Linked DNA regions of Drosophila melanogaster. The protein of the gene in region 1 binds, or shares a complex with, the protein of each later gene. Each region holds a gene or a part of one and is shown on either strand. Other genes may lie near its edges. A codon is read from its position in the direction of its gene.

Region 1 (16,550 bases):
CACTGCCTTTGAAATTTGCATTAAACCTGCCTCTATGATGTATATTTGGTATATTTATTAGTATGTGTATAATCGACTGTTGCTTGCGAATAAGAACGAAAATAACAATTATTAAGTCTGTCGAGGACAAAAGATAAATTCTTATCGCAATGCGAGCAATTTAACCAGTGGGAAAGTGGAAAGTGGGGAAATTGTAGCGCATGGAGACAGTGGAGCAGTTGAACTCACCGTTTTTTGATTGATGGGTCATCCATAGGGTTTCCTGCGATGGCTTTTGCTGGCTGCTGTGCGGGTGCGAAGATGCAAATTCAAAGGCATGCGTAAGCCACTCGAAGTCGGAGGATCCCGTGGAGTATTGTTCGCATTGGTGTGGGGCCAGTCACCAGAAGTGGTTGCGGAATGCTTTCGGCAGCTATTTTTAAATTAGCTAGTAAAAACGGGCCGAAATGAATCCAGAAGTGATTTAATTGCCTCGATTTTCGTTGCTTTAGTTCTGTTTTATGATTTTTTGGTTGCACTATTCCAATGGGTTTTGATATGTGTATATATATTTTGCACTGCTACTTTTCACTTAAACCTGTGGGCACACAAAATTCGTTTGAAGACATTTCGGGCATTAATGCATGTACATTAAAATATTTGTTTGCATTTTTTTTTTTTTTTTTTGAGTGGGTGGTGAAGGGTTATGGGGGATGGGGCGGATCGGAGAGGGTTCAAATGCAGGCAGCAATCTCCTTGCAATTTCATTGTTTTTATTCCAACACAGATAACTGAACAGCACACCCACACACTCACGCGCAAGCCATACATATTCCAATGCCTATGGCTCTCTCGCCGCGCTCGTTCTCTCTCACTCTCTCTCGTAATCTCTTGCTTTCTCTGTCACTCGCAGGCAGCAGTTGTTGCTGGTTTTATTGTTGTGCTTTTTGCTGACTAGTTTTCACGAAACATTTAATGGATGACGACTTGGGGTTGGGGGAAAACAAGTTTTTGGCCGAAAAATTGAAATACTAATGCTATACTAATGGGTCAGAGCGGACACACAAGCAGGAAAATTCCAGCGATCCTTTCCAGATTTGCGTATTTTCCATTAGAACAGCTGATTGTTCAATTAATCGCTTGTGTTCAATTAGCGTGACGAAAACCCAAAAAGAAAAACAAAGACTCCCTCTCTTTCTTTGAATTTGCACTGATCTCACTGTTTGTTTACCTAAATAAATCAATTCTTGCAGTTTCACTCCTTTTTAATTAAACGCAAATATTTAATTGAATAAATATGTATACACACAAACTGGACTGACTGACTGACTGAGTGTGTGTGGGGGTGCGAGTGCGATCATCGCCGCAAACGCAAAGGCAAAACAATATGGCTGCCGCAAGCCACTTGTTAGAGAAAAACAAGGGATTCGAAGCCTCGGAAAGCGTCCAGTTGTTTATCATTTACTCATTAATTCGATCGCTTCCCGCTCCGTCAAGCCGCACATCCCTAAAATCGAATTAAAGCCATGTACTGCAGTTCAAGAGTTCAGCACTCGACGCACTCACACACGCGCGTCGCTCACTAACACTCACTGCCACCGATGGGCGAGTGTGGAAAATAAATACACATATGCCGTCATACATTCGATGCCCCTATAAGCGCGCTGCGTCTGTCTGCGTGCGATGGGTTAGAGATCATTTTTAGACAAATTTGCGTACAATATTTCCTGGCAGTTGCAAGCTCGCGATTTTGCCATTGACGAGCGTGCACAAATGCACTTAAATATGTATGAATTTTACGCCAGTGTGTGGGTGCGCGGAATGCATGTAGTCACTTTTTTTATTTATTGCTTTTGTTGCTGCAGTGAGCTCACGCGTAGCGAGTTGCGCATCATTCTTTCTCTGCTTCGCCACTTTCGCCACGCACTTACTTAAAACGCACTCGTATTGTATTCCATAAAGACACGAAAAATGTTTTTATTTTTTTCACTTATCGCGCCATCAACACGCACACGACGTTCTTTTCTTTTCAGCTTGAAAATTGGAATGAAATGACGAGAAAGAGCGCATATCTGCCAGTGTTGAAAAGGGCTTTAGTTCGGTACGGAATTCAGTACCTAAAACTGGTACAAACAAGGTACCTTGCCGATGATACAAGTTAGCTATTGGTTTTTATTCATTGTTTTAAATGCTTCTTAATATATTTCGTACGTGTGTTCATTAAGGCAATGTGTGTAAATCTTAGCTTATAAAAATTATAGCCCAAACTTGACTTGAACTTTTTAATAAAACCAAAATGCAAACATTGAGGCCAAAGCCTTTTTATTAATTTAAGTCAGCTTAGAAGTAGACGAGCCACAATCCAGATACGTACCTATTTATTGGACCGCAACACTGATATCCATACACGAACTTAGCAGCACTGTCCCGGGACCAATGCTTTTGCAACACTTGATCTGGCGTGCCTGGCAGAAATCAAAACAAACGCACAGCACAACCACCCACACAGACATGCATGCATACATACATACGGACAGCACAAAGAGCAGACAACAAAACCGCGTTCTGTGTTTTTCGTGAAATGTCGTTTATTTGGTGGCGGTTACTCGCGTTGACAAACAAAGGCAGGGCAACGCACCCACCGCCCTCTGAGATATCATACTTGGTTAGCTGCATACATTCGCAAATGTAAGCGCCAACAACTAATGTTTGCCTAGGACAAATCCGGACCCAGGAGGTAGAAGAGCAAAACCATCAGGTAGTAGAGCAGTAATCCTATAAATGCCATGTTGTAGTTTGGACTTTCCTGTTTCGTGCGCCGCCTAGGGACGCACTTCTGGCGTCATGAACTGGCCTCCTCCAGAATTGGTGTCGCCCTCGCCACTCCGCCGTTCTTCTCCAGAACCAGGTTGCCAACTACATCAGCACCCTCGCTATCCGAATCCTGCATAAGTGGGCTGTCGAGAATTCGAAGATTTTTTAAGTCTTCATACTGATTGGCAATATCCAACGTAACTGGGTCAGGTGGAGGTTGAAGTCTGCTTAACTCCAGCAACTGCAGATGGTAGTAGACACCCTCGTCATCTATGGCATAAAAGTGGGAGAAGTGGGCGTCTGTGAAGAACTGACGAGCTTCATTTCCCACAAATTTAACGCAGGCCAGGAGTTCCGGACGGATGGCATTGCCGCGCTTATTCCGCCACAGTTCCGCAGTCCCTCGGTTCACCGGATGAAACTCGTCGGCAACGAATGTCACATCTACATCGATGTCCGCTGCAATGGGCGCCGCATCCACAGCATCCTCTTGTGTAACACTGTGCTGCTTATGGCGTCGACTGCGCCGCCGTTTTTGCTCGCGCTCCAATTGATTGTTGCGCATGTGCGTCACATTCCAGAAGCACAGCTGCTCCGCGCAGCTGATCAGGAGCAACTTACATGGCGAGAATAGCAATTGCCGGATGCAGTGCTCGTGGACCTCTTCAATGCTGTAGATCAGTTGAACTTTTCTGTTTTCAACGGCAAAGAGCTGTTGGGAAATGTATAATTAGCAGGAAATAATTATGAAACGAATTTGTAAGACGTATGTATACCTCTAAAGTGCCATTTTCGAAACCCATAGCCAACATGGTACCATCATCCGTGGCTACCAAATAGCTGATCTTGGCCTTCTGGGCGATCTCTTCTTCGCAAATCTGTTCGTACCTTAGTTGGTTACAGCTGAATATTAAACGGAATACCTGTCGTTGGAAATAATTGATAATTGTTTAATGATATTATGTTTAGCAAACCCACATCGATGATGTTGTTTTCGTAGGCCAGAAAGAGAAGACTGTTCTTTAGATCAAAGCCGACAATGTATTCCTCCGAATCCTTTGGTTTCACGAATGCAGATGGGTTAGCTATATCCAGATGCTGTTGGTAAATATTGAAATCAAATACTGCACTTTTACTCGCATAAACTTCAATTAAGAACACTCACACAGACTCCGTGGTCGGAAAACAAAATGATATACTGTCCTTCCTGCAAGGACGCGTACTTGGTACTAACATCCATCATCAATGGCCACTGGTCATTGGGTTGCAGCGGATCTATCTTTTCCAGCTGGAATATCACAGTCTTCTGGGCACTGTGTGCCGACGCCACCAGAATGTTGGGACTGACCTGTTTGAGGTAATCAATGGGCTCCTCTATAAACTGCTGAGGTAGCGCTGTATCATGAATAACATCTATTATCACTCCGTCCACATAGCCAACGAAAATCTGTTCGTCGTTAAAGGCGGATATGGCATTTATCTTACAGTTACTGGCAGCATGAGTGGGTGTGATTGTGGACCATTCGGAAATTCTAGAAATGGCCGGTTTAATTAGGTGAATGCGCTCCTTGGAGTCCACAGCCAGAAGTTGCGTCCGCTCTCTGGTCATGTCCATCAGAGAACGCAGATAGACATTAGGCTCCAAGCAAGCCTTTGTCATCACGCTTATCTCATCTGCACTGTGAACCCAGGCGATTTCCCTGTTTTGATGTGAATTCGAGCCGCTTACAGAGCGCAATGTGTGCACATGGACCACCTGTTTTCCCTTAGCGCCGCACAAAACAATGTACTTATAGACAGGATCAAACAGCTCGTATATATCCACACACTCTATATGTTCGCTGACATTGCTGCGTAGCACGGGATCAGAGATTTTCAGATCATACACAATAAGTCCCTCGGACGTGCCCAGCAGTAGGTAACGTCCGTCAGTCGAACGCTTTCCGCAGGTGATGAAACTTCCTTCTGGCAGTTGCACTGCCTCCGATTGCAAACTAACCGAAAGACCTGGCAAAAAATTGAGCCGCCATACGCTGTACTTAAAAATCAGCAACACGGTGGCGGTCTTACTCCTTTCGTCAAATACATCTAAGGCCAACGGCGTGTCGTTTTCGACATTAAAAACATGTAGTTCCAGCGTATTGCTGGAACCGTTGGTCAAATCCCATACAGTAAGTGTGCAATTTGAGGTGCAGACCACGTAATATCGCTTTAAAACCTGAACGAAACACCGTATTCCCGACTGCATCGTTTTCAAAACAGGCACGTGCGACAGTTTGAACTCCTGATCTTGTTCGTCCCAATTCAAAATACTCACATCACCATTGATGAATGCCACATGCAGTTGGATGTTGGCCTCTGGCAATCCGGCGTCTTCATTTAAATAGAAAGCAACAATTTTCAGATTTGCATAGCTCCCTATAAAGCGTTTAACCACGCTATTGACTAGCTGCTGCTTGCTACCACCACTGTGGCGCCTTCCTGGACAATCGGGCCACAGGGACCAAAGTTTTACGCTGCCGTTGCAGTGCAAGGTGATCAAGTGCTTCTGTTGGTTAAATACCGCCATACGCAGAATGTCACTGCTGTCGCTCTCGTCCCTTAGCAAATAGGTGTCCTCTCCCTCCAGCGAAACATCGGTTAGCAGGATCTGCCCGCTGGCCAGCGCTATCAAGCAAAAGTCGTTGTGAAGGTAGACAGCATGGCGCCCCTCATTATCACCCAGGTTTATAATCTGACGGTGCTGGTGGAAACGACCGCTGATAAAAGGAAAAAGTGAAATAATAATAATAAAGTAACTTTAATATATATACATTTCATTATTACTAAAAATGACAGCTCTGTTTGTTTGATTAGTCAATAGCTGGTAAGTACTTACTGGTTAGTAAACCAAACCCGATCGTCAAAGCGCTGCACTTGTTTATGGGCTTCTTCAAAAATCGCCTCATCCTCGGCCATCAGGGCAATCCTAAGCAGGTCCGTATACTTTGAACAAATAAGATTTTCCTCAATCTTTGGCAAAAAATCCAGAATAGCGTTGACTAAGCGCTCATACTTTGGGTCATTGTCTGCATGAAAAAAAGATTACATTTTTTTTTTGTTTCAAATGATTCAGAAATTTACGTACCGCAAATATATGGCTTGTAGAACTTCAGCTGCTGTAGCGTGTTCAAGATCGATCCACTGGCATTCCAAGCAGTTGAATCGTGCCGAATCTTTTGTTCTAGAAAACGGAAATCTAAAAAGACCATGCGAAAGAGAGTCATCCGTTCGGGGTGCTCAATGTTTTTTAGATGATGACCGATGTGGCTATAGAAGTATTGGTCCAGGTAAGGCGGTATCAAGTCGTCGGAATCGAATGTTTTTGGGATACTAACAAAAAGGTTAAAATCACTCAGTATACGGCTTACTCGTGGCTTAAGGTTAATACATTTTAGCAAAAATTCAAGATATCAAGAAAAGGGCTAGGAACATACTTATAGTGATCTACGATACTCCGATGAAGTGCATATTCGTTTTCAAGCTTGACTTTCAACTCCAAGTATATGCTGGGTATACTTATGGTTGACTCTTTTGGTTGCTTCTCCACCAATGAATATTTATGAAGTTTGTTAACCACTACCATTACATCGGATTTGATAACATCAAACCATATCAACGATAGGAGCTGTTCAACAGGAAGTTGATAACGATTAGTAGATGTATGCCGTAAAGTGCAGTGCTCACTTACAATAGTGGGTATGTGGGCTGATGGAGGGAAAACTGACAGTCTATCAAACATTTTTCTATATTCAGCGGGCTCCAGAACGTTTAGAGAGCTCTCAATGATGGTCGTCAGCTTATCACAGTTTACACTACAAAAAAAAATTATGTATTTATTCAGTGTGAACACTCATAATCCACATACTGTTTCCAGTTGTCCCAGGTCGCCAGACCATCCCGAATGCTCTCAGCAATAATGCTTAGTCTGCGGGGATTCGTTGTCAAAACTTCCCGGGGCAAATCCTGTGGTCGACAGTCGAGGTACTTTAGAAGCAAAGACTTAACCTCATCCGGCGTAAGCGTCATCGAATGATGATCCAATGAAATATGAGTTGTGGTAGCTGCCGAAAGAAAGTCAGTGACCTGCTTGAACCGTGTGGTTAGCAATATCTTGCAGCTCAAGTTGAAAGCATTCCAAGCCTTGGCATTTTGCACATTAAGCAGAACAAGGAGACAATTCTCGTATGGCTTGCTCTTGAGCAGTCGTCGCAGTTCCGCCTGAATGCTGTGGATTCGAAGCTTTATGTTACTGCTATGATCGCTACGACTTGTCCAGTTGGGATCGATCTGGTAAAGTAATTTCTGCAGCATCTCTAGCACGGTCTCCGGGCTATTGCAGTTCTTCAAGTTAAGCCAGAAGATCTTAAAGTCCATCTTGCATTGCACTTTGTACGATAGGCACACATCCAAGGCTACCCAAGTCTTTCCCGATCCCAAGACGCCATCAATCAATACATTTTTCGCTGGGCGAAGTTCTAGAAGAGCCTGCCTTAGCTTCAGATACTGAAATATAAAAAGTATTGTAGTATGGTTAGATAACAATTCCACAGAGTAAAATTGTTTTTCGGTTTCGTACGTTGGACTTCTTTGATTGTTTTTTTTTTCGAATGGGAGATTATCATACCGGTTGCAGGCGGCTCACATTGTACTTGGCGAATACTTGGTTGTCGTTGTACAGACGATCTCTCTGCTCGATGTACATCCTGGTCATCATGCTGGGCTGCCGTTGCTCAGTCTTGATTGGCGACATTAAGAATTTGTAGTTGATCCTGAGAACTTCCTCCACAAATTTCTGGACCATTTCCTCCTGTTTAGAGAGCAGTGTCCAAAACAAGCGAAGTGTGCCGCTGACTGCATCCTTAGACATGATGATGTGGTCAATTTCCTCCTTGGACAATATTGATTTCGGCATATCCTGGACATCCTTGCAGTCGAAGTTGTCGACGAATGCATCCTCAAACACGGACAAAATGTCCTTGTATTGGTATTGGTGCTCCCCAGTTTCAAAATCCATATTCGTGTTACCTACATATGTAAATATTTATATAGTAACTAAATTTTATAGCTATGTTAGAAATAATTTATTGGCATTGGGTTATTTTTTGTGGTATTTTCATTAATTACAAAAGAAAATGTTATAGTCGAGTTTTCCGGCTATTAGATACCCGTTACTCTGCTGGAAATTTTTATCTCATAGAAATTCGAAAACAAAATAAATAGAAATAAAAATTAAAACGGTTCAAAAGTGTGGCCGTGACAGTTTTGAGCAGTTTGTGGGCGTTAGGGTAGGCGTGGCAACATGGGTGAATAAACTTGGGCTGCGTCTGTATCTCTAGAATCTGTATTCTTAATATCAACCTTCTAGCTTTTATTGTTCCTAAGCTCTCCACGTTCACACTAACGCAACCAGATCGAGTGTTCTAATAATAAAGCTGAATCAAATCCGAATCCCTGTCTTCTCCTTGGTCGGGCAATCACACAAATCATAAATTTGGTTGGACCAACCAATAAAAACTCAGGTGCAACTCTTAGCGAACAGAATCAAGAAAATCGAAAAAAACAAATCAAAACAAAAAAATGTTCATTTCAAATGCACATATGTATGCATGTATATGTGTACATACATATGGCGGAATTTTTGGCGCCAAGCTTGGCCCACTTTATTTGAATGCACCGTAGACGGCTTCTCGAGGAGAGAAATGCGATACCATGGATCTATGAGATCCCTTATCTGCAAGCTGAGATCGACTGGATCATCGGTAATTTCACAACTAATCGACAAGGACGCGAACGAGATCGCCTCTAAATAGCTAGGAATACGTGAGCTGGCGGTGCAACCATCGAAAAAGGCAATTCCGGTTGCATTTTTGTTCTCCTCCGCTCGTCAATGTCGTAGAACCAAAATCGGATCGAATTATTAATCACCAGTTAGATAAGCGCGTAAAGGCAGAGAGAAGATACGTCACTGAGTTTGCCGTGTGAATGAACTTGTTATGTTTGTGTGTAAGTGCTCTCGCATGCAATTGTTTCAGTCACACACACAGTGCCTTGGATTTGTGATTGACGGGGAGGCACAAGGCCCAATGGAAGAATTAAACAAATGGACTTGTAGAGCACAGAAAACGAAAGCACTACAGGTACATAAGCTTTCACCTGCACGCATATTTACTTACGCTCGCCGTTTATTTTTAACAAATCGTCGTCCTTATTCGTATTTTGTTGTATGTGTAAGTATTGCACTTTATCCTTAATATATAGTTGCTCCGGCTTGTTCACATTGTTCTAGCACATTCTAAGCGAAACACTAAAGGCTTGAAAAAATATAAATAATGTACTAATCTATGCTACTCATTGAGTAGTACTCAAAAAATAACAAAACGGAATTTATTCGACTGTGTGACCGTTTTACGCGAGGGAAATAATATCGAATTATATATAGGGTTGTCAAGTGGTTCAAAAATGATTTTAATCGTAATCTGAATTGTAATTCGATATTATATTGCGTGATTTAAGATATTGAGAATTTGTATATTCTTAATAAGAAATACAATTTACATTACGATTAAATTAATTTTTGAACCGACAACAAATAATATATAATAATAAATTCTTATTTATATATTAAGAATTTCTTATTATATTTTAATATATATTATTTGTTATTAGTTATTAATTTGTTATATATATGCCACCTTATATATATATGCCAAATATATATCTCTTTTCCAACTAGATCTAAGATTATAATAATACCATGATTTTCTTGTACGAAATGAAGTAGTTTATCTAATGCTTATTTTCTAAAAAACGGTTTAGCACTTATTACTTTATTTAAAGTGTGACCATATTGAGCCGTATCGATATATCACAGACAACAAAGGTATTCACTGCCAGGTAAGTTTTCACTAGCCACTTGCGACCACACCGACGGTGAAAAGGCGAAATAATAAATTTTAACAAATTGCCGCAGTGTAAATTAAAGGTGCGTAGCATTTTACATTCCCTTTCAGCGGTCACCGGCCGTCCCGCCCCCGCACCGTCCAATTTAACATTTTTTACGGCCAGTAAAACGTGCAATCCCACCCAAAATCAGACACGAAATTCGGAGCAGCGCATCAGAGACGCAGACGAGAAAGTGACGACGCAGCAAAACGAAGCAACAAAAACGAAAATCGGCGACGTACACATTCAACTTGAACAAATTTAAGGTAGGCATTGCAATTTCCCCACCACCACACGGTAGAGTCGGATAGGTCGTGTCCATTTCAATGGGAAACACCGACTGACCCGGCTGCGGAAAATAAAGAGATAAAAAAAGAAAGGCGACAAACCAGTGGTAGGAAAACAAAATGTCCGCAACTCTGTCTGAATCGGCGTCCCGAGGCTTGCAAACGTAACCACGCTGGGGAATGCCCTGGCGAATGTGATTTGTCTTTATTTAGATAAACTAATCCTCATCCATTACTTTACTCTGATTGGTGATTTGCAGTTTTCGAGTCCAACGCAATGTCATGCCGCGCCCCCTTCCAGCCCGACGATCAGTATGAGCAGCTGCGCCGGCCGAATGTCGGCGGAGCAGGCGGAGTGGCCATGCCGGGACTGGATCAGCAGGCGCATCTCTTTGGGGAGTACGCCGGAGCGCAGGCGTACGGTCAGGTGGTTGGCAATTTTCCTGTGCAGGCCATGCAACCCCAGGCGCAGACTCTGTCCGATGCGTCCAATCTGTCGGCCACGGCCACAATTTTCATCCCTCGAGGAGCTGCTCCCCCGCAGCAGCAGTCGCGACATCAGCAATACCAGCAGGCTGGTGGAGCCGGTGGAGGAGCTCCTTATGGCCAACAGCAGCCGCGCTATGTGAATGGTTTTAAGCATCACCATCAGCAGCACCACCAGCAGCCGCACTACAACCATCATCACAATCATCAGCAGAAGTTCAACAACGATATGCAGAAGCTAACGAATTCCGTGCAGAATCGCCTGCACCTGAATAGCCAGCAGGGCTCAGCCGGCAACTACTATCAGCAGCAGCAGGTACACCAAAACACACACCACCACCAACAACACCAGCAGCAGCATCAGCCACACAACCAACACGCCAAGTTTCAACGGCACTTCCACTTGAATAACTCATTCCAACAAATCGTACAGCAAACACAGCACAACCAGCCGCAGCAGCCGCACCACCAGCAGCACAACCAACAGCAGCAGCAGTATATTCAGAACCAGAATCAACAACCGCAGCCATCCACTTCGACTGCGGCGGCCTCCTCGTCGTCCTCGAACTCTTCGCAGCCGGACATGGCCACCATAGCACTGGAGTATCTTGATACAGTCATACATTGCCTTAACCAGGTGAGAATTTCGATTGATAAGCTATCAGGGCAATTATGGGCTTCCTTTGATTTATATTTTTAGTGTTTTATGATTATTTAATCAATTTTAATAGGTGTCAGCTTAATATTTTCTTTAAATATAACAATATATTTAAAATCAATATATTTATGCTCGAAAGTAAAAAAAAAAATCAGCTGAAACATTTCAGTCTAGTCAAACTTAATCTTAAGTTTTAAACCTAAATTTCCTACTAACCAGACATATTAATGATCTCCATCCAGAATCCGGGCCAATTTGATTCGATTGCATCACGCTTCCTGACCATTTTCGATGGCATGGAGAACAACCAATTCGTGCTCTCCATCGCCATGGAGGACATCTTCGAGAAGTCGATCGAGCAGCCGAACTTCCGGTACATGGGCGCCAAGCTGTACAACCTGCTGCACATGCTCAACTCGAAGCCGGACTCGCTGTTCCACACGCTGCTCAAGTGCAAGCTTGACTACCACCAGGAGGAAGTGACCAAGTACATGCGCTCCAACGAGCAGCAGAAGGTTCGCGAGACTGCCCTCTTTCTGGCCGAGCTGTACATGCAGTTGCGCGGCGACGACGACTCGCGCATCCAGTTGATCGCTGTGAATATTGTATATTCGCTGAGTAAGCTGCTGGCCAGCGAGAGCAACGAAAATGTTCGCTGCCTGTGCCAGACCCTCAAGCTGGCTGGATATGATCTGACAGCCGATTGCCCCAAGGACATACAGGAGATCATCACCGCCCTGCAGGCGATCGAGCTGAAGTCGCCGGGCAAGTACCCCATGGCGGCAAGTGTAATTGCCCTGCAGCAGAACAACTGGGGCAGGAAGGTGTCGAACGCTCTGGGAGACGATGAAGATACAGTGAAGGAGCCGCCGCGCCTGAGCGATGAGCCCGTCTTCTACGGACCTGATGGCCGCGAATTGACTGCCGAGGAGACCGATTTTCTGGCCGGCGGGGATAATGATGGTGATGATGACTTTGATGGGGATGGTGCCGACCTAGAAATCGACGCGGAAATGGACGAGGAAACCGAGCGGGCATACAAGGAGTTCTGTAAGCAGGGCAAACAGAAGACCTAGACGACTGTGGAGAACTGTGTTGCATTGGACGGATTCATGAGGGCGTGGTCGTTGGCAGGATATAGCTTGGGTATAGGAGGGATGGTGGAGAGCGTAGGAGTGGAGCATTTCCAACAAATTCTCGGTTGTAGGATCGATGATTGCAGTTGCTTGGTTCAGAACCAATTGTGATTATCTTTTAAATTATTGATAGCAAATTGTTTGTGATATCTTCGTGTTTCATGCACCTATCATAATATGACATGTGTTAATGACTTTGTTCGAACGCTTTTTGTGTGATACGCCCGTTTTGTATCTCTGATAACTAACTCTCTGCCATGATAGCCAGTTCATTCATTCAGTTTGTACTTTTTAACTTGAATTAAATAAATTTGAATAGTCGCGAAGCCAGGATTTCGACCGTAAACGGTAAAAGAAATATATATATATATAACTATAGCCACTGCCACGCCGAAGTGAACCGCTGATACAGACACACACGCAGCTGCACTCAAAGACTCGTACTCATATGCGCACCCACACACTTGCATGGCACATATGCAGACCCATAAACGGCAGAAAAAAACAAAATCGCAAATTTCACATTCAATTAAACGACATTCTCTTGATCATACAAATCGAAAAACGAAAGAAAAAAAAACGACAGCAGCCACGCCTAATTTTTAAATAATTGTAATTAATGTTAACGAATCCATGATTTAATTATAAATAAAATTTATCGAATTGCGTTTAAAACAAAATCAAATTGAGCGATTTTATTGAAACGGGAAAGAAGCCTGTTCGGTTTTCGAACTAAAAGCGGTTATATTTTCGTTATTTCTAATTATGTCGAAAGAGTCGAGTATATGATAAGTGCAAGCGGGGTTTCGAACCTTTCGGATGCTATGACTAAAGGTATTGTGTTGATCTATTGCTGCTGTTTGTGATGTTTTTAAAACAAATACATGAGTGCTTTAAAGTTGCTTTATAGCTGGAAGAACTAACAAACCTTTTCAACAAAAACAATCGATATTACCTCACCGCCTAAAACAACAAGCGCATATGTTTGGCTTATCGATAGTCTGGAGCTATTGCAGTTTGTCCACCTCTACTCAATCTGCTCGCGACAGTAAAAAAAAATCGGATCGAAGTGTAAATCGGTGTGAATTAAATTATTCGCTGTGATGTGATAAAAGCTAAACGGCAGCGAGTGCTCGTAATAAACGCGCAAATGTTCGGCGTAGTGTCCCCAAATCGAAGGACCTTGAAACGAAATTGGAGACCAAAACAAAAGTGACGTCATAATGGTGCTATTTATGTATTTGTATGTACGTCTAGGCATCATCTATGTATACAAATTTCGCTTAAAAATTTGCCAGTGAGACGCAAACACACAAACACACGCCCGCAGGAACAATAATAGATAAAAACAAAACTAGCAATAAGCTGTAAATCTCGAGTATTTATAAGAAATTCAAGAAAGACAAAGGCAAAGTGACAACTAAAGGTCACAAAACAGCGAAAAAGAAAAACAAATACAACACAACACAAGAACTGTGCGCGCGTGTGTGTGCGTGTGTTTTTTGAGTGTTTTTGCAGACAACAAAGCAACAAAATTCAAAAATAAATTTACAATAGTGTTTTCCGCCTTGCACACTCTAACTTTCGATTTTAAGAGGGTCTGCCTTTTTTTTTTGGTTCCCTTATGAATGAACCTTGTAAACTGACCCAGAAATTTATAGCATATAACCAGGCGTCTATATTGTTTTTCATTCCGCATCCAGATCGCCTGCAGAAGTTAGCTGGTAAAAATGACACAATAGATTACTGAAAAAGCAAAGCAACGACGATCCAAACGGGTCTAATTTTTATACAAACCCCAACACCCCCAAAGATATCCAAATTAAAGAGCCCTACGATCCACACCCGCTAAGATGGCCAGCGTATGGAAGCGATTGCAGCGCAATTTCAAGCGAGCCGCCAAATTCCAGTTCACCGCATCGTACCACGATCTGCATCTGGAAACCACCGCCAAGTGGTAAGTGCCCCACATGAAAGTGGATTAGTTCACCGGGAGTCGGCTAAAGTGGGCGGGGCGGGTCGGTGGCGGTCTTAAGTGCCTTTCAACTTGAGGGGTTAATAGCACGTTTCTGGCGGAAAGATATCTCGTTTTTAGATTCCTTTTTGTGTATCATTGAAATCAATATATTTTTTTCCGTTTCCATGTAATTTTTGTGTTTCTTCAAAAGAATATCTTCTTATTAATGTTTATATTTACTTGCCTTATCTTGCATTCGCGTCTATTTTTATTAATGAATATATACGTATATATATTTATGCGCAAAAAATGTGTAGACCCTACTGCAGTATCATTTGTTGAAGTTATAATATTTCTTATCATTTTCAAAGAACAAGCTAAACAAACGCTTATAGTTGAAGATTTATTTTCCCTTCATATACAATGATTGTTTCATAAATACGATAAAATATTGATATGACTAGTTACTTGACCTTTATTACTCTGCACCTTTAATTTACCTTTATCTAAATAAGTACATATTTCGGAGAATATCATTGAGCAACTAATTATATAGTTTAATTCAATTGCCGAGAGGAGTTAGTCATGCAAATAAATTAAGCAAAATATTGAAAATAGTATAATATTGATGAGGCTATTGGCTACTGAATTCCATGACTACGAATTTATAATATAGTCGTACTCCATTTGCTATCTATATCTTTGTATTTGCAAATGACCCCAACTTTTCCTGTTGACATGAAATGTTTTGTACAGACTTTTGTTTAATAAACCAATCATCGCATATATTTATCAACTGAAGAACCCACATATGCATATAATGACGCCGCATCCGGTGTTCAGAAATTGTTATTCATGGTCTTGTATATAAAATACATGATCAGAGTTGAAAGAACTTTGAGAAACCAATTTGGCATGAAATGGTTAACAATCATGTGATGGCCAATTTCAGGCGGCCGTCGAACCTCTCTATCGTTTGGACCAGAAGATCTAGACGAGTGGCCAGTGCTCCTTTGCCATGGGAGCCGGACATGATGAACCCCTTGGTGGGCAATATATCCTGGCCAGTGCCCGACAATCACACCATATCCGTCACCCTGTTTAAGGATCCTCGGACACACGAGCTGGAGGACAAGGACTGGACGTTTGTCATCGAAGATGTGGGTTAAATAATGTCATGGATGCATAGAGTTGCCAGTAATTGGTGTTACCTTCCATTAGGTCACTCCAATGGGCAAGAAACGTGTGCTGGCCAATGCCAGCATTAATATGAGGAAGTATGCCAGCATAGAATCCACTCAGCAGAGCTTTACCTTGAGCCTAAAGCCAGTCTCGAAGAAGATTACTGCAGCCAGTTTGGAGCTCACGATTAGCTGTGTATTTTTGCGAGAAGGAAAGGCTACGTAAGTCGACTGCCCTTTAATTATCTACTTAGAATGGAGCCTCACTACTAAGTTTCGATTCCAGAGACGAGGACATGCAGAGCGTTGTCTCCATGATGTCCGTGAACAACAATGATGTGGCGCCTTTGGATGACTTGGAGGATATTCCAGATCTTGATGGCTTTAGTGAAATTACGGACAATTTTAATGACTTTACACAGCAACTGGAGCATATGACAACTAGCCTAAATGGCTGCATTGATGTGGCCACGCCTCAAAGTGGTAAGAAATCTTGTACTATAACTTAAAAATTATGTTCTATGTGCTAAAATTCAAGTATTTGTATCTGTTAGTATGTAAAATGGACTAGATCGTATCTATTATGTATATTGAGTGCTAAACATAAGAAGCAGGGATTTTAAATATTGTAAAGCTCTGTTTTCGTTATGTAAGGCACTTTGGTTAAGTATGTTATATACCCTGTAAATGTTTTCTGATCTCTAGATCAGAATTCCCAAACTACGCATCTAATGGATACCATATATGTACACTTGATGATGCATGATCTAACAAACAACAAATTAATTGATTCTAATTATAGCATCTTAGCTTTAGATACTTTGTACAGACACTTTTATCTGACGGAAAACGAAATTATTTCCTTTCTATATCCCATGACATCTACATCACATCACGTATCTTGAATGGTTTCCTGCAACTTGTAATTTGTGCGTAAATTGTTAAATGTACATTTCCTTTATTTTCGTTTTCTTTTTGTTTGTCATTATGTAGTACCTTCGTTATCAGAAGATCCAACTCCGTTGGCCGAGTCATTTAATCCCTTGCATTTTGAACTAGACGCCGACG
Region 2 (13,831 bases), on another chromosome or scaffold:
TGTACCTACATACAACGTACCTAGCACCATAGAAACCAAACTTATCACAGAGCTTTACAGCAATCGCAATCAAAAAAAAAAAAAAAACAAACAAAAAAGTAATCAATATGAATAACCACGAATACGAAAGGAACGTTTATTTTTTGGCCAAGAACCTCGAGTGATCCCGCCTGCGCTTTATAGTGATGAATCCCACATAAATCTATGTATATTCTATACCCATCATTCAATTCATTCAATATATACACACTATGATCAAACGTAATAGATAGCTCCAAAAAAACACCCAAAACTACTACTAAGGTGAATATACACGAATCCAATCCAAGGTCCACCGATCCGAAATAGAACCAGAGCCAGTAATTACTGAAGCCGCTGTACCCGAAGGCAATCTCAAACTCAATCTCAGTCTCACATTTATAGTCAATTTGTATAGTTGGGCAGCTATATGCGTAAAAGTGTGGTAATTGGTAATGGTAAACTCTTGAAACTTTATACATATAGTGAAGACTCACCAGTGTCATAGATGTATTCATTACGTAAACGGCAATTAAAGCGATTATTATCATTATTGTTGTGCTATGTTTAGCGGAGTAGAAGTGAAACCCGAAAAAAAATATGAATTTATATATGTATACAAAACGCAGCAGCAGCAGCAGGACGAACTCTATCTAGGACACATTAAAAACCACTCTACTTTATATACACATACTCGAATGATATGAATAAAAGTATGAATTACACGAACGGGAACGGGACAATCAAAATTCAAGCGACACTAAAACTAATTCTATATCAACTATCAACTAACAAACAATTGCAATTTTAAGTTACGTTGTTGTCGTTCGTTGTGTTTGTTCGATTCGTTGGATCTGCGTTTGGTTAATGCCAGCTAATTTGATCCTGAAACTCCAGCATATCCTTGCCATGCACCTGAAATTGCTTTGCATTTTGTTCGGTCCGAATTTGTTGTTTATTTATTTCACCTTAGACAAGCATATCGATATGGTTTACTAGCGTTTAATCGTACGTATATATAATTAGATTTACTTAATTTTAATTAATGTTTACGCGACAAGACAGAAACCTAAACACAAGAAACAAAAAAAAAAATTTAAAAATGAAAAAATTAAAAACAAAATCTAAATCAAAGAAAAAGGGGAAAACCAAAAGCTCAAACTGGACTGAACATTTAAGAGTTATATTATGTACATTATTGAATTGCATTTGATTGTGTGAAGATCGTTTTAGTGCTAGTAACTGCGCCTAAAACAAAAGGGTATTATATTTGTATTCGAATTTGTATGTAATTCTGATCGTATGTACGTTATGTTATCGTAAGTGTACCATCCTAGATCCTCTAATGAATTGAATTGAAATGAAGCCAACTCTGTCTCTTGTGATTCTATTGTGATGCTATGGGAGTCAAGCAGCACTCAACTGTTTTTATGCCTCTTAAAGTTTAAAACAAAGCTAATCGTAGCAAAACCTAAAACTAAACTACCTATCTCTACACTAGTCTATGCAATGCTAATTGGCAGCCCCAACAATTGAAAACAATCATGCACAATAAATGTTATGCAATTGAGAGAATCCAAAGGCCAAAGACCCACAACTTTTTCTTACACTACTCGAAGTAATTGTGTACAACTAAAGGAATTCTAGATTTTAAATGTGCTAAAACTGTTTATAGTCAAGTACTTAATTAAGAGTGTAATTATCAAATATTAATACGTACAAAGGTTGGGGCATTTGGCATAGTAATACTAATAATGTATAAACGTGGGATCCGATGATTTGATTGATGATAATGGAGCGGTGCAAATGCGTGTGACAATGTACGTATGTAACAAACAATTGAATTTAAATGTTTAATAAATGTGTGGAAATGAATAAATGCTCTGTGTGCTAAATTCCTCAATTACTCAATAACAGCCTCTACGTTAGCTTCTCGTCCAGGAATAGTGGATCCAAACTGCACTTTTGCCGCTGTTCCATGTAATCCAAAAACTGGTGGTCAAATAAACGCTGCCCCATGCTGCGTGCCACATCGTCGGATTCGTCGGTGTTTGCCTTCTCTATGAGCAGCTGTTGGCATTAGGATTTCCTTTTTTTTTAACTATTTTGGAAAGTTGATGCAGCCTTCTGCTCACCTCAATTTCCTTGGACAAAAATTCTTTGGTCGCATCGCTCATCTTCTTTTGCGGCTGGCCCATCAAAGCGTTTTCCAGAAACTTGTAGGCCTCACTGAAAGTACCACAATGCTAAATACAAATGTAGTTTATCAAAACCATTCCTACTTCAAGTCAATGCCGTTCAGTTCCGTTGGCGATGGCTTTGTCTCATTTTGGATTATGGAGTTCACAACGACGGCTGCTTCGAATTCGCAGAGTTCAGCGAGTTGCGAACTTTTCATGAGCTCCAGCCACTGGTTAATGTTGTTTAAGCTAACGGAGTCGCAGTTTTTCACCATTTCCTCGCCCTTGCCAATCATGTCGGCCACATACTCTAGAAAAGGGATTGGGGGACAATGTACTTTTATTGCATTATGCATGTTTTAAGAAAACTCACGGAGAATGCCATTCGAATTATTTTGATTTTGCTGCTTGGCTGCTTCGAGCAGGATTTGCTGTGAGTAGCCCAGTCTGTTTAGTTGCCTTTGCAGCTTAACTTTCACCTCTCTCGGAATCCTTGCAGGCTTTTCTGCGCCTTTTTGCGCGGAGTTTTTCGGTTCCGGCGTAAATTGTTGCTCCTCCTCCATTTCTTTTGTTTATGTTTACGGTTTGTTAGGCTGACCCCATATGGTATTTGGTATTTAGTATTAAATTGAATCATTTGATGCGGCAATGAAGGAATGGTGGAATAAGTGGAACATGGAGACGGTTCATGTCATGGATTTATCCCGGACGCGTTCTCTGGTTAAAATGGCGCACCCACAAGCAGCCACACCAATCCCAAAGTTTCATTTATTAGTTTAGTGGCGAGTTTGGCGGCGCGAAACGCTCGTTGGTCCTTTTGTTTCGAAAGAAATCCTATTCGAAGATCCCCGATCCTTGCTAGGATCATCTAGTGCAATATATAGACTAGTTAATTTACTTTTGGAAAAATAAGGACACCAGCAGGGCCGCCGATTTGTGCCCCTTTCTTGAAAGTCGCAAAACAAAAACAACGACGACAACAACAAAGCGGAGACAAAGAATCGACAAGTAGCGATAAACGAAATCATTCCCGGGAAAACCTTGGAGACGGGTGATTCACTGCCAATACCACTGCCAATTGGAGACTGATCACGGCAGCCATCCTTGGCGCGCCCAATAAGCGGAGTCACCGGAACGCGTGGAAGCCATATCCGGAATGCAGCCGCCGGAGCTCGAGATTGGAATGCCGAAGAGGCATCGCGAGCATATACGCAAGAATCTGAATATACTGGTTGAATGGACGAACTACGAGCGTCTGGCCATGGAGTGCGTGCAACAGGGCATCCTAACCGTTCAGATGCTAAGAAATACGCAGGATCTCAATGGCAAGCCATTCAACATGGACGAGAAGGATGTGCGTGTGGAGCAGCATCGTAGGCTCCTATTGAAGATCACCCAGCGTGGTCCCACCGCCTATAACCTGCTGATCAATGCACTGCGCAATATCAATTGTCTGGATGCGGCCGTTCTATTGGAATCCGTCGATGAGTCCGATTCAAGGCCACCCTTTATCTCGCTAAACGAACGGAGAACCAGCCGGAAGTCGGCCGATATTGTGGACACACCCTCACCCGAAGCCTCCGAAGGACCCTGCGTTAGCAAGGTAATGAAAATAAAATCATACGAAAGCTTTGATGGTGAAATTGCAGCTCAGGTCATTGACCCTGATTTCTACAAAAAACCGGTTTATGGCACAATTTATTTGCATTTTTTTTTTTAGGTTTGTTAATTGAGTTATTCCTATTGGAATGAGATTAGAAAAGGTATCTTTAAGAATTGTAAATGGACTCAATGATGAATACTACTTTGGTACATGTGCACAGTATTATTTGCTTCTCTTTCAGAAGTTAGTTCGTGTATGAGATTCTTGTTTTCCATTTTTTTTGGAAGCATGAATCACATCCATTCTACTTACCTATCCCAATTATTCTTTTAGTAGGATTTGTTTTTAACCAGAATCTTATCGCAATATTGCTGGCAGCTGTGTTTATATAGCACGAATGTTGATTACTTCTTTGTCTGCCACATTAACCGTGCAATGAAAATATAATATATATATTGAAAATCTTATCTTTATTGTAATTTGTTCTTTCTTTCTCTCTCCTACCAAAGCTCCGGAATGAGCCGCTGGGAGCACTCACCCCTTATGTGGGTGTCGTTGACGGTCCCGAGGTAAAAAAATCGAAAAAGATACATGGTGGGGATAGTGCCATATTGGGCACATATAAGATGCAATCACGTTTCAACCGAGGCGTTTTGCTAATGGTTAACATAATGGACTATCCGGATCAAAACCGTCGACGGATCGGAGCCGAAAAGGACAGCAAGTCGTTGATACACTTGTTTCAAGAACTGAATTTTACGATTTTCCCCTATGGGAACGTGAATCAGGATCAGTTCTTTAAACTTCTGACAATGGTGACCTCCTCGTCGTATGTGCAGAATACCGAGTGTTTCGTAATGGTACTGATGACACACGGCAACAGTGTGGAGGGAAAAGAGAAGGTGGAGTTTTGCGATGGATCTGTGGTCGATATGCAGAAGATCAAGGACCATTTCCAGACGGCCAAATGTCCTTATTTGGTGAACAAGCCGAAGGTGCTTATGTTTCCCTTTTGCCGCGGCGATGAATATGATTTGGGCCATCCAAAGAATCAAGGCAATCTCATGGAGCCAGTGTATACGGCGCAAGAGGAGAAGTGGCCTGACACCCAGACGGAGGGCATACCCAGCCCGAGCACCAATGTGCCAAGTCTTGCCGACACTCTGGTCTGCTATGCTAATACGCCGGGCTATGTTACCCACCGCGATCTCGACACGGGCAGCTGGTACATCCAGAAGTTTTGCCAAGTGATGGCCGATCATGCCCACGACACAGACCTTGAGGATATCCTAAAGAAGACGAGCGAAGCCGTGGGTAATAAGCGCACCAAGAAGGGTTCCATGCAGACAGGTGCCTATGATAATCTTGGCTTTAATAAGAAACTCTACTTCAATCCCGGGTTTTTCAACGAATAGTTGCCGCCACTGGACATTTTATCATTCCGGATGCATTTTTAACCGCATTTATGTTCTTATCGTCGCATTTAGTATGTCTTTTAGATTATGTGTTCTGTGCTCGCGTGCTATAAAATGTTTATATTGTAACAAATACTCATTCAAGTATTCTTCTAATACGTATTGCATACCTCATTTAAAGGTACGAAATTATGTAATTTATGTGATAACTGCCAGAAATCTACAAATATTATAATACAGAGTTCCAGTATATACACAGCCAGATTTTTGAAATCGAACATTTAGGCAAAATGTAAAGCAATTTTCCAGTCTGATTTTTGAGTGTGTACACTTACAAAATAAACGATGATATTTCACAACAAACCGCAGTTTGTATATAATTAAAATCTATTTACATTTCTAAAATTTCATTGGGACACTAATTATTATATAATATAATCTTAGGATCATACATTTTAACCTAATCATCCTGCTCATCCTCCTCCGCCAAGTGGGACAGTTGTAGTTTTCCCGCTGCACGGCTCTGTTCCGATTTGGTTTTGCATTTCTTTGGCTTATGCGGCTTTTGGCCAATTACATACTCAGGCATCACCAGCTTGGAACCTCTTAACTGCGGCTTATCCAGCTCCACATCATCCACCTCCTGCTGTTTGAGGCTCTTGAGCTTGCGGCTGAGTTTGCTGGTCCTCTTGAACTCGATCTTGCCATCTGTAGGTGGAGATTCGTTATCGACGCCCTCAGCCTCGCGCTGTGCATCCATTTGTCGCAGGAAGGACAAGGCGGCGGCGGAGTTGCTCTGTTCGGAAATGTCCACATCAGACAGGGAGTACTTCTTCCATTTGTGCGGGTTTACCTAGAGAGTAGGTCAAACGTTTAGGGTGGGGACAACTAATTGCAGAGGGATGGTCTGTCACCTGGTAATCTGGCGTTTTTCTTGGCTTCAAACAGCGTCCAATGGGGAGTTCGGGCTTCTTGAAAATGCTCTCCTTGCCGCGCATTCGTCGCAGTCTTCCATCCTCCGCATCGAGGCCAGTAACAATGCTGCGACCCTGGCGGTAGTTCATCACCTGTCCGGATTCGTTTCCGGATTTGTTTCCTCGATCGAGGGCATTGATGGAAAACGCCTTGGCCTTGCTCTGATCCAAGGCAGTTCCCCGCAACTCTTTGCTCGCATCGTCGAGACATGCGAAAAGAGCGTCTCGTTTGGCTGAAAATTCCTGCATTTTACTTAGTTAAACTGCACAAATGGCATTTGCTTAAATGCGTTGTGTTTGCAGAGGTAACTTTGTTTGCTGCAAATCAGCTGTTTTCACAGTTACCGTTTTGTATTTTCATCTAGTATTTTAGTAACGTGCAGTATTTTTAGACTATTAAGGCAGCTATTAAACCATTTCCTTTTCTATGGATTAGTCTATACTATGTGAGTTAACTGACATCATAGGGTTAAAATACTTTTTAAACGTAAATTAACAGATTTGAATTTATCCCATTCTATTTCAATATAGTAGCAGTATGATTGGTATTCTCTGCAAACTAAGATATCTTGGAATTTCGGCCCACGCAAACTCTGGTCAGACTGGTGCCGGTGTATAAACTTAGTGTGGAAGAAGTGTGCTCATTCGCGAATATAAATAAATTAAACAGCCAGGTGGATATTGAATAAAACTAACCCAAAGGCGTGACCATGTGTATAGTGTGCCTGTCTCAAAGGACGATTCATCGAACAGCTTCTATTGAAAGGCCTTTCAGACAGCTTAGTGGAACTTCTAACCCCATGTGGTTTTTGGTGGCAACTAAAGTCACTTGTGCCAGGGTCTTTTAAATAAATGTTAAAACTAGAAAAGCAGAAGTTTTAGATTGCCAGAAGAATATAAATATATTTGATTGCAATATTTTTATTTGTGCTTTTGTTAATTTTTGCAAATATCCCACTTATTACCACAAAAAGAGCACAAGAAATTGTATCCCTGGTTTCATTCAGTGTTGAATAACGGCCACACCCAGAGGACAGCTGTTCTTTATTGTGATAGCAATCCAAATAGGGAGAAAAAACATTTAATTCGCTGCTGGAAACTAAAATTAAACCCTTTGACAAGTAGTTTTAATTATTATTTTCAAATTTCATTTATAGTTTAATGCTTATAGTTTCCTGATTTCGTACTACCCCGTTAGAATGTCCCTGCAAACGGGCTTGGCTTTCATTTTCACCATATTAGCCTCTGTTAGTATCGTCGCAGCAATTATTTTGTTGGGTAAGCAGGCGCCCGCAGACGATCACGTTATAATGGAAACAATTTTCTACGATCCGAGCAACAAGTCATATTGAAATTTGTCTATTTTGCAGGCTGGTTCCTCATCTGGAAGGCGTTTCTATCGAAATTTCGTCTGGTTCGAGAGCTGTTGGGTCAGGAGGAGCCGGAGGATCAGCAACCACTTGCTTGGGATCATCAGAATCAACAGCCACACCACCACGGCAGAGCCAGGAAAGCTCGCCGAGACTAGGAAGCACATCTACACAGCCTCACCATGAACATCCGCTGCGCAAAACCGGAAGACCTAATGACCATGCAGCACTGCAATCTGCTGTGTCTACCCGAAAACTACCAGATGAAGTACTACTTTTACCACGGACTAACCTGGCCTCAGCTTAGCTACGTGGCCGTTGACGACAAGGGCGCCATTGTGGGCTATGTCCTGGCCAAGATGGAGGAGCCGGAGCCCAATGAGGAGAGCCGCCATGGGCACATCACCTCGCTAGCGGTCAAGCGTTCCTATCGGCGATTGGGCCTGGCCCAGAAGCTCATGAATCAGGCCTCCCAGGCCATGGTCGAGTGCTTCAATGCCCAGTACGTGTCCCTGCACGTGAGGAAGAGCAATCGGGCTGCCCTGAACCTCTACACCAACGCCCTCAAGTTCAAGATCATCGAGGTGGAGCCCAAGTACTATGCCGATGGCGAGGATGCATATGCCATGCGACGCGACCTCAGCGAGTTTGCCGATGAGGATCAGGCCAAGGCTGCGAAGCAGTCAGGCGAGGAGGAGGAGAAGGCGGTCCACAGATCCGGCGGACATGGCCACTCGCACAACCACAGCGGTCACGATGGCCATTGTTGCTGAACACTTTCGCTGCCGGCGCTTGCTGGCTTCGACGTTTTTTGCATTTTTGTGCATTAGGGTTTTGTAATTATTTAACAATAAAAAACGTAACTAAAATTAAAACAAAAGTAATGACAAAAAGATAATGTTTTTAACAATAAAGGGTTTGAAGGCCATTAAATCAGTAATAATAATACTATTTACGGTTTCTGTTTCTAATTGCCAATCTAAAATGCATAAATGCATTAAACACCTATTAAGACGAATTTTTTGATTTTATTTTGAGTAGAGTTTTAGAAGAGAGTGGTTTTCTAAACTCCCCAAATAATTTATAATATCTACCATTCTTTTGTGCTAGAGCTCTGGTTAACCCAAGTAATGCGAAAATTTATGCCAAATGTGGGTTAAAAAATGTGCGCTTTTTGTAATGTGAAAAGTTTGTTGGCCCGAAAAGTTGGCCAAGCGGAAAGATGTCTTTATGTGCGAAGTGTTGACTTTCGCGCCAACTTTTGGGTGCCATCAAGTTGTAGGTGTCGTGTTGGTGGAGAAACTTTTATGGCATATGAAAATAGCTAGCAACCGTTCCCACTAAACCGATTTTCCAGTAACGGAGCTTTCTAATTTCCCAGTTTCCCGCGGCGAGCTCCTTTTGCGCATGCTCAGTGGAACATCTGCGGCAACAGCTGTTCGCTAGCCACGTGGAGTACGGTACTTTTCCGGATGGCGCCAAAGAGAGAGAGCGAAAGTACCGCAATCACAGCTGAGCTGAGATGCTGGCTTTTCGCGTATTTCGCCGTTCTTAAACTCAGTTCGTGAGGCGCTGGCTGAGCAAAAACAACATGTATGCGGATGTTTTATCAGTTTTCGGCTAGCTACGTAAAACGTGCGCAAAACCCAAATCGGAACTTCAGCTATTGTAGTGAAAAGTGCTAATAAAACCCTAACGGTAAAACCACTCTTTACAACGGGAGAAGAGGAAGAACGAAGGAAGTAGTGCTACTGCTACTGATGGGTTATAAAAAACTAACGGGAAATGACTGGCATTTATTATGATTGTGGAAAAAACGCCCTGCCAAATCAATAAAAAACGCGGAAACAACAAACAATAAACAATTCGTTAGTGAAAAGCGCCGTTAAACATATGGAACTGTGAATGTGTTGAGGGAAAGTGCTTAAAGTTCCAACGGTAAACATACTTTATTGATGCGAAAGTTAAAGCCAATTGATAACCCCAATCGAATGAGAGCCTGATTTGTATTATATTTGCGGGCTATAACGCCTTGCTAAATCAATAAAAGCCAGGGCACTTCAGCAAACCCTTCATTCGGGCAATCCTCAGAACCCTCAAAACAGTCACGGACATAAATGTAAGCGCTTTTGGTGTTGAAAAGCCAAAAAGCCGGCCAGTGGTTCAAAAAGCCGGAGAATGGAAGCCAAGCCTCTGCTCTTCTCGTGTTGTTATTGTCGAAACGGGGTCAAAAGTTCGTGTCTCACTCGCTAATTCAACCACACAAAAAAGCGCACACACACTCGCACACTCGTACACCACCCAGATAACGGTTCCTCAAGTGCAAGCAAAGACACTGCGTCGCCCGTCTGGCAGAAAAGCATGAAAAAAGCATAAGAAAAGCATAGTAAAGCAGAAGAAAAGCAGACAAAAGCATTAGCCAAGTGCCAAGTAACTCAAAACTGCAGGCCTACCAAAGCCAGGGGAAAACCCACATACATACATACATAAATATGTATTTGGAAAACAACACCAAATCGCAGACAACAAACTAGGCCAAATTCCGCGGGGAAGCGGGAGAAAGCTCAATTGAAAAGTGCTCTGAAAATGAAGAGAAGTAAAATATAATAAAAATAAAACAATAGAAGTTCTCTGGCCATTTGTCAATGACTGGGCCACTCGCGTGACTGGCGATCCTCGGGGAAAGTGGAATAACTGCAGCTGCAACAGACTCCAGACTACGGCAAAAGGACTATTTCGAAAAATATTGTGGTAAGTCAACAGGATTTAGGCGGGCACTTTGCAGTAAAAGGTACCAGCTACATTACACCAATTATTGCAAAGTTTCCATCAAATTATATTGAAAAAAAATATATAACGTGTTAGGCTAGATAACATAAAGTTTAAATGAAAACAGATAGATAATGCGGTACTGTATCACATTTATCATATTCTATACATTTATGCAAGTAACTCACAAAAAATCCATTCGCAGTAATTTGCCAAGAATGCCAGAAGTAACGCCAACAATTTCTCGGGTTATTTAAATATGACTGTAATTTGAGCAAATGTCTCTTGAAAACTTATTTTCCCTTGATATGAAAATACACAGACTTCAGCGCACATGCTATCTGTACGAACTTTTCCTCACTTGTCAGCGGGAAGGCATATTTATTTATTTAAGTTTGCAGTGCCTTTTCCGCCTTCGCCGAAAACTTCAAAAGGCAACTCCACTATGTGTGGATGGTGTAATGACATTTTGTCAGCAGGATTATGCCAAATGCTGGCCTCCATCCCAACATCCCCTCATCGCCCTGCTGATGATGAGCCCCAAACATAACCATCGTCGTCGTCGTCATCATTGTCTTTGTCACTGTCAACGCGTCTTGCATCTGTCAGTGGCAGCAGAAGCATCCGATCCCCAAACGCCAGTCCCCCAATCTACCCCGCCCACCAAGAAAACCATCCAAAAACCCATCCCATTTCGAAATTCTTGTTCTTTCGTAGGGGTTCGCATCATTTTTAAGCAAACATTTGCCGTAGCTTCAGTTCTGGTCCTTCCTTCTCTTTGGCACTACTGGCTGTTTGTTCGTGTTGTTTCTGCTGCTCCCGTCAAGTGTTTACTACTTTTTGTGTGCTGTTCTGTGTGTTTTTGTTGCTGCCGACTGGCGGTACGTGTTGGCTCACAAGATGTCAACAACTTTGCTTGCCACTCGCTGAAAAACGCCAGCTTTCTTGCAGAGCAGCGCAGGGTACCGCATCTGCTTTTGTTTTTTTTAATGCTGCTTTTTCTAGCCACGTTGATGAAATTAGCAATTTGATTAATTTCCTCCTTTCTATTTTTTTTTCCTTTCCTTAATTTTTAGAACATGAATACAAATAAGAAAAGTATTGTCTTGAAGAAATTCCGATATACATAGGCAAATCAACATTCTCTAAAACATATAATCTTATTTATTTGTTCTATCCATAAGCTTGTTTCATAGCCAGACCACAATTTCAAAGAACTTTTGCATGATGCTTGTAGGATAGTTTAAGTAATAAGTTAATAAGACTTGAATGCCTATTGATCCGCTGTAGAGCAATGTATCTGTGTTTTGTTGCATAGGCGACAGGCGCAGCTGTCAAAATGCTTAGCAATGGCCACGTGGCATCCGTTGGCGTTTCCGCTTGCCATTTCCGTTTCCGCTGGCCGGCTCTCTGGTCATCTCTCTCTCTGACGCAGGCAAGCAAAGGTGATTGATGGCCGCACTCGCACTACTAATTAAGGTTATTTAGCGAGTGCTCCTGGCCGTGGCCATTTTTCATTCCCGACGCGTTCTCGTTTTGTGCGGCTGTGGTCGTTCTACTCCAAGTGTTTATGGCTTCAATTCAATTAAACAACTGGGTCAGTTGTGGTCGCATTGGCACAAGGGCTTCCGCATCCGCATCCGGATCCGCATCCCCGTCGGGATGGCGGGAATCAACTTTCAGCGGCGTAATTAATTCTCCGACTGGGCCATCGGAGGACAAAGACGCATCATAAGTAAGGCGGCGGCAAAACAAGAAATAGAGCTGCCAGCAAATTGCATTTATAATTCATTTACTCGAAATTAAATATTTCTTTAAATGAGCCAACCCCTCGTAAAAGGCGACTCCAGTAAATGAATGGAATGGAAATGCCATTTAACCATCATTCTCACTGTGCATATTGTATATTTAAATATGTAAATCCTTCTTCAATGGCGACGATTGCAAGGACCGTTCTTTTAAATCCTTTAAATCGCAGCCCAATGCATTTATTGCTGTCAATAGTTTTCGGCTGGCTGGATTCAAAGGAATATCGTAGATACTCATTACACATTACATATTTTGCTCCATTTATAAAGTTTTCAAAATCAACTCCGCAATCGGATTCCCAGAATGCACGTGAGCTGCGCCCAAGGAACGATTGCCACAATCGAAAAGTTTTGCATACTGCGCAAACATTTTCTCAGAACTTATTTACAGAAACAAGGAACGAGGATGCTGTGCTGCCACAACATGAAAAGTTATTAACGAGTGCGAATATGTAAGTTCTTGAAACGCTGCTGCAAAGGACACGAACTGTAAAATCTGAATTTTTACTAAGGAAGGGGGCATGTTCATTAAAAGTTGACCCTTATGCCTTCAAGACGTATAAGGTTATTAGGTTTTGTGCTTTTGCAAAAAGAAAAGCGGAGCGGTAAATGGCTGAATGGTGTACCTTTTCAAGGCAATTGTTAAAGTTTTTGGGATTACTGACTAAATTCTTAAAAATACTAATTTGAAACAATAGTTTCATTTAAATTATATATGGATTGGCATTTTTTCTTATTATGTTTGTAGCTTGACTACTTTCGTATTAGTTTCAACTTCACAAGTTACCGCCAAGGAGTTTCTTTTTTGGGGTTCGACTGTCCGCATGCCCCATTGATTTTTCCAATCACTGTCCACTTTGTTTCAATTTATAAGGTTCTTTATCTGGACCGTAGGAGCCACAACTACACCCAATTCGCCATTCTTCCTTTGTTTATGCGATGGCATTTATTTATTTTCCGGTTCCGCCATGTTTTCCTGCATCCCCTGCGGATTTCTTGTTCCATAAAAGATGATTTTTATTGCGGCTCCATCAAGCGAGCGAAAAAAAAAACAACAAAAATCAAAAAAAAAAAAATCGAGCAGCTCGAGCAACACATAATTTTGCAGCAATGAATTGAAAGTTTAAGTTTAATATTTATCTGCCATCGATTTAATTGTCAGGCAAAATATGCCCCTGGGGGAGTCGAGTGCGAAACTTTCCTTGGGGCAGGCAAAAGTTTTTGGCCGGCCAAAGTTGATCAATGAAATTAAAAAGATTTATGATTTTTGGACGACCGAAAGTTGCCGATGAACGAATCCCCATACGAAGGCCCGAAAATCCCGGGTGCGAATCTCAGAAGCCCAGAATCTTTGCAAAACAATCAGCAGCAATGTCCTGCTGGGATGGAAAGTTTCTGCTGTCATCCCAGTTGGGTCCTTCGGATATTATTTTGAATTGCGCTCATTTCGGTTAATGGACGAACCCAGGTTGAGCAATAAAATGGGCGACCAAAATGAAACTTGTTATAATCATCAACGGGTCGAAGCACAAAGCGCATTACTTTCTATTACAATCGAAGGGTCGGTCTACGGTTAAAATAAAAATGGGTGACCGAAATAGAAAAGGAGAAATTATGTTAATTTAAAGTGAAGTCTCAATAACGAGTGTCAAACTCAAGTGTCCGAAAGTGTTTAAATCTGACAAAGGTCCTCC

What was found.
Region 2: the proteins of Dark (region 1) and Dronc are in contact, whole or in part, in a cryo-EM structure (PDB 8Y6Q), measured with the Drosophila melanogaster proteins. Residues at the interface, in NP_725637.1 of Drosophila melanogaster: Phe23 (codon at 7,783), Asp25 (codon at 7,777), Asn26 (codon at 7,774), Phe27 (codon at 7,771), Asp28 (codon at 7,768), Cys29 (codon at 7,765), Lys30 (codon at 7,762), Asp31 (codon at 7,759), Val32 (codon at 7,756), Gln33 (codon at 7,753), Leu61 (codon at 7,669), Val80 (codon at 7,612), Leu81 (codon at 7,609), Ile83 (codon at 7,603), Asn84 (codon at 7,600), Tyr85 (codon at 7,597), Lys86 (codon at 7,594), Phe87 (codon at 7,591), Arg656 (codon at 5,365), Lys694 (codon at 5,251), Gln696 (codon at 5,245), Leu697 (codon at 5,242); in NP_524017.1 of Drosophila melanogaster: Val39 (codon at 3,469), Gln40 (codon at 3,472), Gln41 (codon at 3,475), Gly42 (codon at 3,478), Ile43 (codon at 3,481), Leu44 (codon at 3,484), Thr45 (codon at 3,487), Val46 (codon at 3,490), Gln47 (codon at 3,493), Met48 (codon at 3,496), Leu49 (codon at 3,499), Arg50 (codon at 3,502), Asn51 (codon at 3,505), Asp54 (codon at 3,514), Lys58 (codon at 3,526), Phe60 (codon at 3,532), Gln81 (codon at 3,595), Arg82 (codon at 3,598), Thr85 (codon at 3,607), Leu89 (codon at 3,619).

Annotation. Positions count from the first base shown.
Region 1 is NT_033778.4:17,012,700-17,029,249, reverse strand, and holds Dark (Death-associated APAF1-related killer), read right to left. Parts: upstream 9,224-16,550; 5' UTR 9,009-9,223; intron 7,861-9,008; 5' UTR 7,850-7,860; coding exon 7,460-7,849; intron 7,339-7,459; coding exon 6,701-7,338; intron 6,648-6,700; coding exon 6,524-6,647; intron 6,461-6,523; coding exon 6,270-6,460; intron 6,166-6,269; coding exon 5,921-6,165; coding exon of another isoform or gene 5,913-5,920; exon of another isoform or gene 5,862-5,912; coding exon 5,672-5,861; intron 5,599-5,671; exon of another isoform or gene 5,553-5,598; coding exon 3,959-5,552; intron 3,898-3,958; exon of another isoform or gene 3,892-3,897; coding exon 3,772-3,891; exon of another isoform or gene 3,717-3,771; coding exon 3,570-3,716; exon of another isoform or gene 3,506-3,569; coding exon 2,822-3,505; 3' UTR 2,547-2,821; downstream 1-2,546. Other genes in the region: RhoGEF2 (Rho guanine nucleotide exchange factor 2), read right to left, coding at 229-254; Paip1 (Poly(A) binding protein interacting protein 1), read left to right, coding at 10,342-11,187, 11,451-12,284; Ehbp1 (Eps15 homology domain containing protein-binding protein 1), read left to right, coding at 14,198-14,301, 15,254-15,461, 15,523-15,704, 15,769-15,965, 16,476-16,550.
Region 2 is NT_037436.4:9,965,534-9,979,364, forward strand, and holds Dronc (death regulator Nedd2-like caspase), read left to right. Parts: upstream 1-2,945; 5' UTR 2,946-3,354; coding exon 3,355-3,801; intron 3,802-4,310; coding exon 4,311-5,216; 3' UTR 5,217-5,469; downstream 5,470-13,831. Other genes in the region: CG6685 (uncharacterized protein), read right to left, coding at 1,939-2,088, 2,154-2,247, 2,301-2,508, 2,572-2,761; CG6674 (uncharacterized protein), read right to left, coding at 5,677-6,069, 6,131-6,439; CG42455 (uncharacterized protein), read left to right, coding at 7,390-7,468, 7,561-7,718; vnc (variable nurse cells), read left to right, coding at 7,743-8,333. UniProt on the Drosophila melanogaster protein: Involved in the activation cascade of caspases responsible for apoptosis execution. Effector of steroid-mediated apoptosis during insect metamorphosis. Overexpression promotes programmed cell death.